2 linked regions of the Ovis aries genome follow. The protein of the gene in region 2 interacts with the protein of the main gene of each other region in a pairwise test. Links are inferred from orthologs where the notes say so. Each region holds a gene or a part of one and is shown on either strand. Other genes may lie near its edges.

Region 1 (3,745 bases), about 8.2 Mb from region 2:
GTGAAACAGGTACAAGGCTTTGTAGGAACTGGGGGGTTTTGGAGGACTTTTATTCCCCACCTGGCACAGTGCCTCCATCCCTTATATCACCTGGTAAAGACAAGGCATACGTGGGACTGGGGATTACAGCAGCAGTCTTATTAGAGCAGCAGATTATTTTGCCTTTGAGATGGAAAAGAATACCAGTGAGGCAAATTAAAGCTCTGGGCACTTCCCAAGCTGGGCTACCATTTGAGTTAGATGTACCTATAATTCCGGAAGGTCTGAGTTGGGCACTGTGGCAGAGAAGGAGAGTACCCCTAGGATTTTGGTTCCAGCTCTGGAAGAGAGCAGAAACCCAATACACCCCACAAAGCAACAGCTTCTAACACTGTACACAATGCTCCTCTGGGCAGAGCTTCTCACAAAGGAACAGCACATCATGGAAAGAACTTCCCTTCCTTTGAAGGGGTTGTTAAGAATAAGTTCCATCTACCCTCCTCTGAGTGAACTCCGGGAGTTGGACAGGGAGGCCTCTGATGGACAGGGAGGCCTGGCATGCTGTGATTCATGGGGTCGCAAAGAGTCGGACGCAACTGAGCGACTGAACCAAACTGAACCCACCTTCGCCATGGCTCAAACCCTCACAATGACTAAATGACCTGTCCATTTGTAGCAGATGAGCACCCTACCACCAGTCCACTGTCTCTAGAAATGTGGGCGCTTTAGGCCCTATCCCTGGAGGAGGAAATGGCAACCCACTTCAGTATTCTTGCCTGGAGAATCCCATGGACAGAGCCACCATCTTGGTTCCCTCCATTGGCCTGGAGGACATTAAAACATACAGACAGACCCTTACTCAGTTCATCCAGCAAGTCTTAAATGACTTGTGCAAAGCCCATCTTAACCGAATACTAAAATAATCTTTAATGAGAAAAGCTGTCCTCTAAAACAGAATAGCCTTGGACATTATTACTGCCTCTTAAGGGGACTTAGTAAATCAATGGTTCAAATTATGGGGCTCTTGATGGAGAAAAGTGTTATTTATTTTGAGAATCATCTAAATCTGTCTTTTCTCTTGCACGTGCCTTTATATTGTTGCTGTGGCATCTGCCTCCACTGCAGTCAGATAGCTGCCAAACAAGCCACCTCCACGTGGCAGAACCACTTGCTGACTTCTCAGGGCACACTTCTGACCCTGCAGAAGGAGAGGGGGTGAGACTGTAAGGGCTGGTCACAAGGGATGGAGTATTGGAGGAGGTTTTGACCATCAGTTGACACTCCAGCTGATCCCAGCAATTGCAAGCTCCTCACCCCCACCCCTGTCCTTGGGATTTACACTCTGCCTACTGTCCTCACACTAGGGGCTGATCCAAGGACAGCAGCCTTGAGAGAGTCAGGGGTTGTTGAGGCCATCTGAACTGAACCACGTGACTGTACCTAGTTAAGGCCTCTATATATAATTTTAAAATTCTGGTGGACAAGAGCAGAGATCTACTCATCTTGCAGCCACCCAAGATAGGCCTCAGACTCTGTTGCTCATTACACCTGCCACATACCAATCTGAGTGGCTGGCCTTTCTTTTGCCTTCCTTTCCTTCTGTGTACAGGAGCCAGTTTTCAAACTAACACAGTATTGTGTACCCAATACTGTGGCAGAACTAAGGCAGGAGATTTTTAAAAAGACACTATCTTTCTTAACTATCCAGATGAGGGAAACCACAGTGATAATGTAAAGAGCAGTCTGAAATGGGGTTTGACCTACTGCCACAGTCATGGTTTTAGACCTAGAAGGGGTATTAGAGATTCTTTCATTACAATCTCCTTTTACAGAGCACCAGAATGAGGACCAAAATCCAGATCACCCAACCCTATGCAACTTATGCTATGTCATGAGACATAAAGCATATTCTGACCAATAAATGGTGGATTGTGGGAACACTAAAACCATGAGTAATATCTGACATGGGACATCACGCTGGAAGGAAGCCTAGAGAGAACCGATTCTAGACTTTTCCTTTTACAGAGAAGACTGGGCTTAGAAACTGATCCTTCTCCACAAGATGAGAAAGGAGTCCTTTTATCTTGAAAGACAATCCCTCTGGCAATTTCTGGCTCTCTCTTCCTGTACTTTAGTTACCTCTTATTACAGCACTGTAACAATATATTTGAATTTTCTGTTTATCTGTCTTTCCACTGGCCTGCTGCATCTATACAGGGATGGTTTACTTCTGTGTCTGTCCTACTACCTAGCCACAGGGCCTAGCACTCGATAAGAGCAGAGAAAATCTCTTAAATGATAATCACCCTGCACCTCCAAGAAAAAAAGACAAAGCCCCAAAACTGGTGGAGAACTCCTAGTGGAAGCTTAAGGTAAGCACCGCTTCCCCAGGAGAAAATGGGACTAAAGCGCCACAAACAGTCCCTAAGGACATACACCGACACACCCAGCTGTCATTCATTCTGTGTGTACGTGTAGGTGCGTGCTCAGTCGTGTCCCACTCTTTGCGACCCTGTGGATTTTAATCCGCCAGGCTCCCCTGTCCATGGGATTTTCCAGACAAGAGTACCAGAGTGAGTCATTTATTGCTGCCCAGAAACAGGACACAACCGCTACAGTCGCGGAAAGGCAGCCACTGGCAAAGATAAGTCCACGTGGCGTTGGACGTGAGCTGACAGGTTTGGACCAGTAGTCGGGCGCTTCCCTCCGATCCGATCCCCCGGCCAGCTCTCTAAGCAGAACAAGTCCCACCTCTTCACCTCCTCCTTCCCAGACTCCACTCGTTTCCCTTTTCTCTCAGGAGCCCGAACTCTTCTTACCAGCCCTCCTGCTACCTGGCCTTCAACACCGTCTGCGGCCGCCAGCACCGGAAACGCGCCCAGGTCCTCCAGGTTCCTGGCACCCACCCGCGCGGAACGCTTCTGCCTAGATCGGCTGCAGGAGGGCCCGTTTTGCTGCACACCGCTCGCCTACGCTTCCTCCTGACAGTCCGGCGTCGTTCTAGGGAGCAGCTGCTAGTCTTGTTTTTCCCTGCACTTCCGGCAAGCCACCTTCCGCCATTTTAAAAGTTTTATTTTTTTCGTTAAGATTCTTTGATTCACTTTCTTTTTTCTCGACCAAATTGGCTCCCGAGAGGTGGCGCTCACGCGAAGTCTGAAGAGCTTCTGACCTAGAAGTAGACCGCAGCCCTGTTTTTACATTTACTCGTTCTTTCCAGCCAAGCACATTTACTTATCCAAGTAGCGTCTGTGTACCAGGCGCTGTTTCAGGGTCTGGGGTATGGCAGTAAGTTTTCTTGAAGCTGGCGATGGGATTGAGAATGGGGATAAACAATAAACAAATGAGCAAATTCGTATGCAATATATTATGTAAATGCTGTTTTTAAAAGCAGGATTGAGGGGAAGGTTGAGAAGTGAATCCGCCTGCCAGTGCAGGGGACAATGGTTTGATTCCTGGTTCAGGAAGATTTCCCCATGCCAGGAGCAACTAAGACTGGGTGAGCCGCAACTGTTGAGCCCGCCCACTGCAACTACTGAAGTCCATCCACACAGCTAGAGGCCACTGTTCCACAATAAGAGAATCTACCGCAATGAGAACCCCGGGCCCCACAACTAGAGAGTAGTTCCCCTTGATGCAACTGCAGAAAACCCAGGCAAAGCAACAAAGACCCAGCACAGCCAGAACTTAATTTTTTTTTTTTTTTAAGTAGCATGGAAGAGGTCAGATTTCTAAAACACATGCATACAAGCACACACATACACAGAAC
Region 2 (3,745 bases):
GGCATCGGCTGCTTTTCTCTAGACCAGGAGGGTACCTGGGCCTGGGGAATTCAGGAATGTCAGAAATTCCTAGACGTAGACCATCTCTGGAATGCTAGAGAAGCCAGTTGTGGTGATACAGGAAACAAGGGCCAGGGCAGGTCACTCCTATAGAAACAGATGGACCAAACTGGGCACAAGGAAGGTACAGGAACCAGAGAGCCATTTGGATTTTTTTATTCTCTTTTTAAATACTGTACAGTGAAAAATAAATACGCCTTCTCATCCACCAGACAAGGTTGGTCCCCCCCTCCCCTGGGGGACCTTGTCACCCCCCTTCATACACACCCCTGGTTCTACTCCAAAACCTTCCCCATGCCTCCCACCCACTTATACCCTTACTATCCCCGTCTTCCACAGTGATGAGGCCCCAGAAATGGGGGGTACAGGATGGGAGGAGGGATAGCAGGGGAGCCCCCCTGAACTGTCAAATCTGGGTGGGTCAAGGAGCACCCCGCACCAACAGGCGGAGAATGGGGGTGTTCAGAGAGAGATTGGGGCATTAGAGGATAAAGGCACATCCAGTCTGATGGGGAAGGAGAGAGACTCCCCTCACCCTGGGGGTAGGGTGGACAAGAGGGAGGGGGTAGGACCCTGTTACACACCCCTCCACTAGCTCCTGGAGGCTGGGGGGGACCCAAGCTGCTGTGCCACCCCCCTCCCCCCTAGATAAGAGCAGCTCCAGCGCAGGTCGGTCGGGCCTGTGAGGGCCATTGGTGTTGGGCAGCAAGCGAGATGGAGAAGGGAGGGATGCGGGCTGGAGGGTTTATGAAACCCCATTCACCAAACTACCCAACTCCAAGGGGGCGGAGAGCTCCCCATTCTCTGAGGGGCCCTTAGGAAGCTTGCTGACAGAGTCACCCTGAAGGGAGAGTGGGAAAGAAAATGGAGAGGAAGGAAAGGAGGTCAGTAGAAATTCAGGTAATGCCATTCCCTACCACCTAAGAGCTCCAGGCATCTGCTGGGACCCAGTGGTTGGTCGCCAGTAGTCACTTTTACTGGGATCCAGAAAATATGAACCAAATGGCCCTTTCTCTTCTATACAAACTTTTCACTATTCTACATGTAGCCTAAACTCCAGCTGCATGCCTTCCCTGCAATTTCACAAGCGATTTCTTAGCGAGTTTTCATGTGCCCCCTACTCCAGAGCAACACAAAAGGTAGTGGGGTAAACTATGTCTTCCTTGCCTACCTTCTGCCCTGAAAGAGAATCCTCTGAAGGTTTAGTGCGATCCAGGGGTGGCCGCTGGCGGCTCTGAGACTTTGCTCGGGAGATATAGTCAGCCACAGTCACTGGGGAAGACAGAGGATCAAGTTTCAGAAGGAACCCAGGTATCCAGCCCCTAGACACCCACTGGACCCCAACCCCTAGTTTCCACAGGATAGGAGGCATCCTGTTCTCTGAGGCAGTCTGCTGGAATCCAGTGTTAGCTCACCTGGCTGACGGTCTCCACTGATAGAACCATCAGTCCGGTTACCACGGTTACGGCGGCGGCGGCTCCGATTACGACGCTGGGGTCTTGACTCATCTTCTGTGGGGCATGGGAAAATGAGAACTGCGCATCAATCACCCACCCCCTCAATTCTTGCCCAGCTGCAATCTTTCACACCCTCACACACCCCTTACCCAGGCCATTCTCCGTCATGCCGGGCCCGTCGGATTCCAGGCCTCCATCCATGACAGTCCTGTCCTCGTCGGTGCGGCGGCGGCGCGAGCGGCGGCGTCTGGCGCTTGCTGGCGGGGGTTCCCCCGGCTCTGAATCAACGGGGGGCTCTGGTTCGGATGTGTCCAGTAGGCTGTAGGGATTACTGTCTGGGTCCTTCAGCACTGGTTGGAGGAAGAAGGAGTTGGGAGTCAAGTGTCCACCATCTTTCTTTTTGGCCCACATTCATGAGCCCAGCTGTCTGCTTCTGGTACCTGAGCTAATCGATGAAGAGTTGTATCTTGAGGTGGGCCGGGGGGCAGGTGGGGGTCCCCTACCCCGGCCTCCTATCGGACGCCTCCGGCTTTCTTCCCCCCGGGTCGGGGCATCCCGGTCGCCAGGCCCAGCTCGGGTGGGCTCCTCCCTCTTCTCTGACTCCGTCTCAGAAGCTGTGGATAGGTCTGAGTTGGGGCCTGAAGAACACAGTGGCGTTCAAACAGGGTCCCTCACTCTATCCCAGGATCCATCCCCACCCCCAAGCTGGAAAATTCTCCCTCTCACTCCTTAGTCCCTCAGCCAATCACTTCATCTTCTCAATCACCCTTTCCTCAAGCTTCCACCCAGACCTCTGCCTCCCACACCCCATCACTGCTTACCCCCCACTCCCATAGATATCTCACCATAGGCAGGACCGCCTGTCCTCCGGCCCCGGCCCCGGCCCCCATAGCTGCCCCCATAGGTTCGTGTGGTATGAAGGGAAGAAGAGGAGCTCTCATCAGTGGTATATCCAGCCTTGTCACTGCTGCCGCTGCCCCGCCCACTTCCAGGAGGCCGAAAGCCCAGCCCAATCTGCCGAAGCTGCTCATCAATCTGCAGCCTCTCCAAGCGGAGCTGCTCCACCTCCTGGTTGGGTAGAAAAACAAGGAAGGAGAAGTAGGTGAAAGATCAATAGTCTCTCTTCACGCTTCTCTGCCCCAACTGTCCCTAGGGACCTGAACTCTCAGGAACACAAGGCTTAAAAAGGAAAATGATGGGTTCCAACTCCACAGCCCCAATTTTCCACCTAACAGTTTCTATTCTACTCAGAGATACAAACTGGAAACCACCACTTTTAACTCCATCCAGCATGCTCCTCAGTCCCCTGTACACATGGGTCTTTCCTCTCCCAGGCTCCTGGCTCGGGTACCTGCAGGTAGGAGAGGTGATATTCCAGCAGAGCTTGAGCATTGCTGATGTTTTCTCGGGTGCCAACAAATATGAAAGGAACCATGCCCTGGAGAGCAAAGGACACATAGATTAGAAACAGACTCAAATCAAGTATTAAGTCCACCTTGTCTAAGAAGCCTACCCAAAAGGGATCTTTCTAGGCTTGCCATCTACTAGGAAAAACCAAAGTTCCCACGCCCTATCCCCTAGAAATCCCAGCCCTCAAAAGAATGGCTTGGAGAACAATTCATATCTACTCTGGAAACCAATCTCTAGGTGTAGTTGCCCCATACCTCTTCCCTGGGGTTCTTCTTGTCATTATCACCTTCAACTCGAACCCTCACCACACCGGATTTATCCACAATCTCCTGGATCACTTTCCCGTTCTTTCCAATCACTTTGCCTGAATAGGTAAAGGAGGAGTCAGGCTTTTTTTTTTTTAAAGGAAAGAAAAAAGAGCAAAAACAGTTTTCCAGCTTCTATGCAAGAATTCTGTTTAATGAATCTCCTGCTTCTAGGCTTCTAGTGTGTTTTCACACCACAATCGCTAGGAATTAATTCTCCCATTTTTGTCACTCCAATTACAGACTGTTTGGTCTGTCCTCGTGAAACGAAGTGCACTGGGAGGTGCGAAGCCAGAATCACTTTAGAGCATCTCACATCTGGCCCCCAACATGTTCTCTTATATACATACACAACCCTAACTCACCAACCAGATTCCTGGGCACTTGCACGGAGTCCTCAGAAAACTCAAGATAGCTCCGGGCCTGTCGGCATGCTTCAGGAGTCTAAGAGAAGAATGGGGAGTTATTAATAAAACAGAGGACCTGGATCTCAAACAGTGATCTTCCTGCCAC

What was found. The genes of interacting proteins can lie anywhere in the genome.
Region 1: the proteins of FXR2 (region 2) and nucleoside diphosphate kinase A 1 interact in binary tests that used the Homo sapiens proteins (3 or more experiments, as listed by UniProt). The link is inferred for Ovis aries from reciprocal best matches to the Homo sapiens genes FXR2 and NME1.

The regions. Positions count from the first base shown.
Region 1 is NC_056064.1:35,341,208-35,344,952, forward strand, and holds the start of nucleoside diphosphate kinase A 1, read right to left. Parts: upstream 2,856-3,745; 5' UTR 2,814-2,855; exon of another isoform or gene 2,731-2,813; intron 1,178-2,730; exon of another isoform or gene 1,068-1,177; intron 1-1,067. UniProt on the Homo sapiens protein: Major role in the synthesis of nucleoside triphosphates other than ATP. The ATP gamma phosphate is transferred to the NDP beta phosphate via a ping-pong mechanism, using a phosphorylated active-site intermediate.
Region 2 is NC_056064.1:27,141,701-27,145,445, forward strand, and holds the end of FXR2 (RNA-binding protein FXR2), read right to left. Parts: intron 3,677-3,745; coding exon 3,598-3,676; intron 3,292-3,597; coding exon 3,182-3,291; intron 2,956-3,181; coding exon 2,869-2,955; intron 2,586-2,868; coding exon 2,363-2,585; intron 2,156-2,362; coding exon 1,958-2,155; intron 1,868-1,957; coding exon 1,667-1,867; intron 1,572-1,666; coding exon 1,476-1,571; intron 1,333-1,475; coding exon 1,232-1,332; intron 902-1,231; coding exon 806-901; 3' UTR 201-805; downstream 1-200. UniProt on the Homo sapiens protein: mRNA-binding protein that acts as a regulator of mRNAs translation and/or stability, and which is required for adult hippocampal neurogenesis. Specifically binds to AU-rich elements (AREs) in the 3'-UTR of target mRNAs.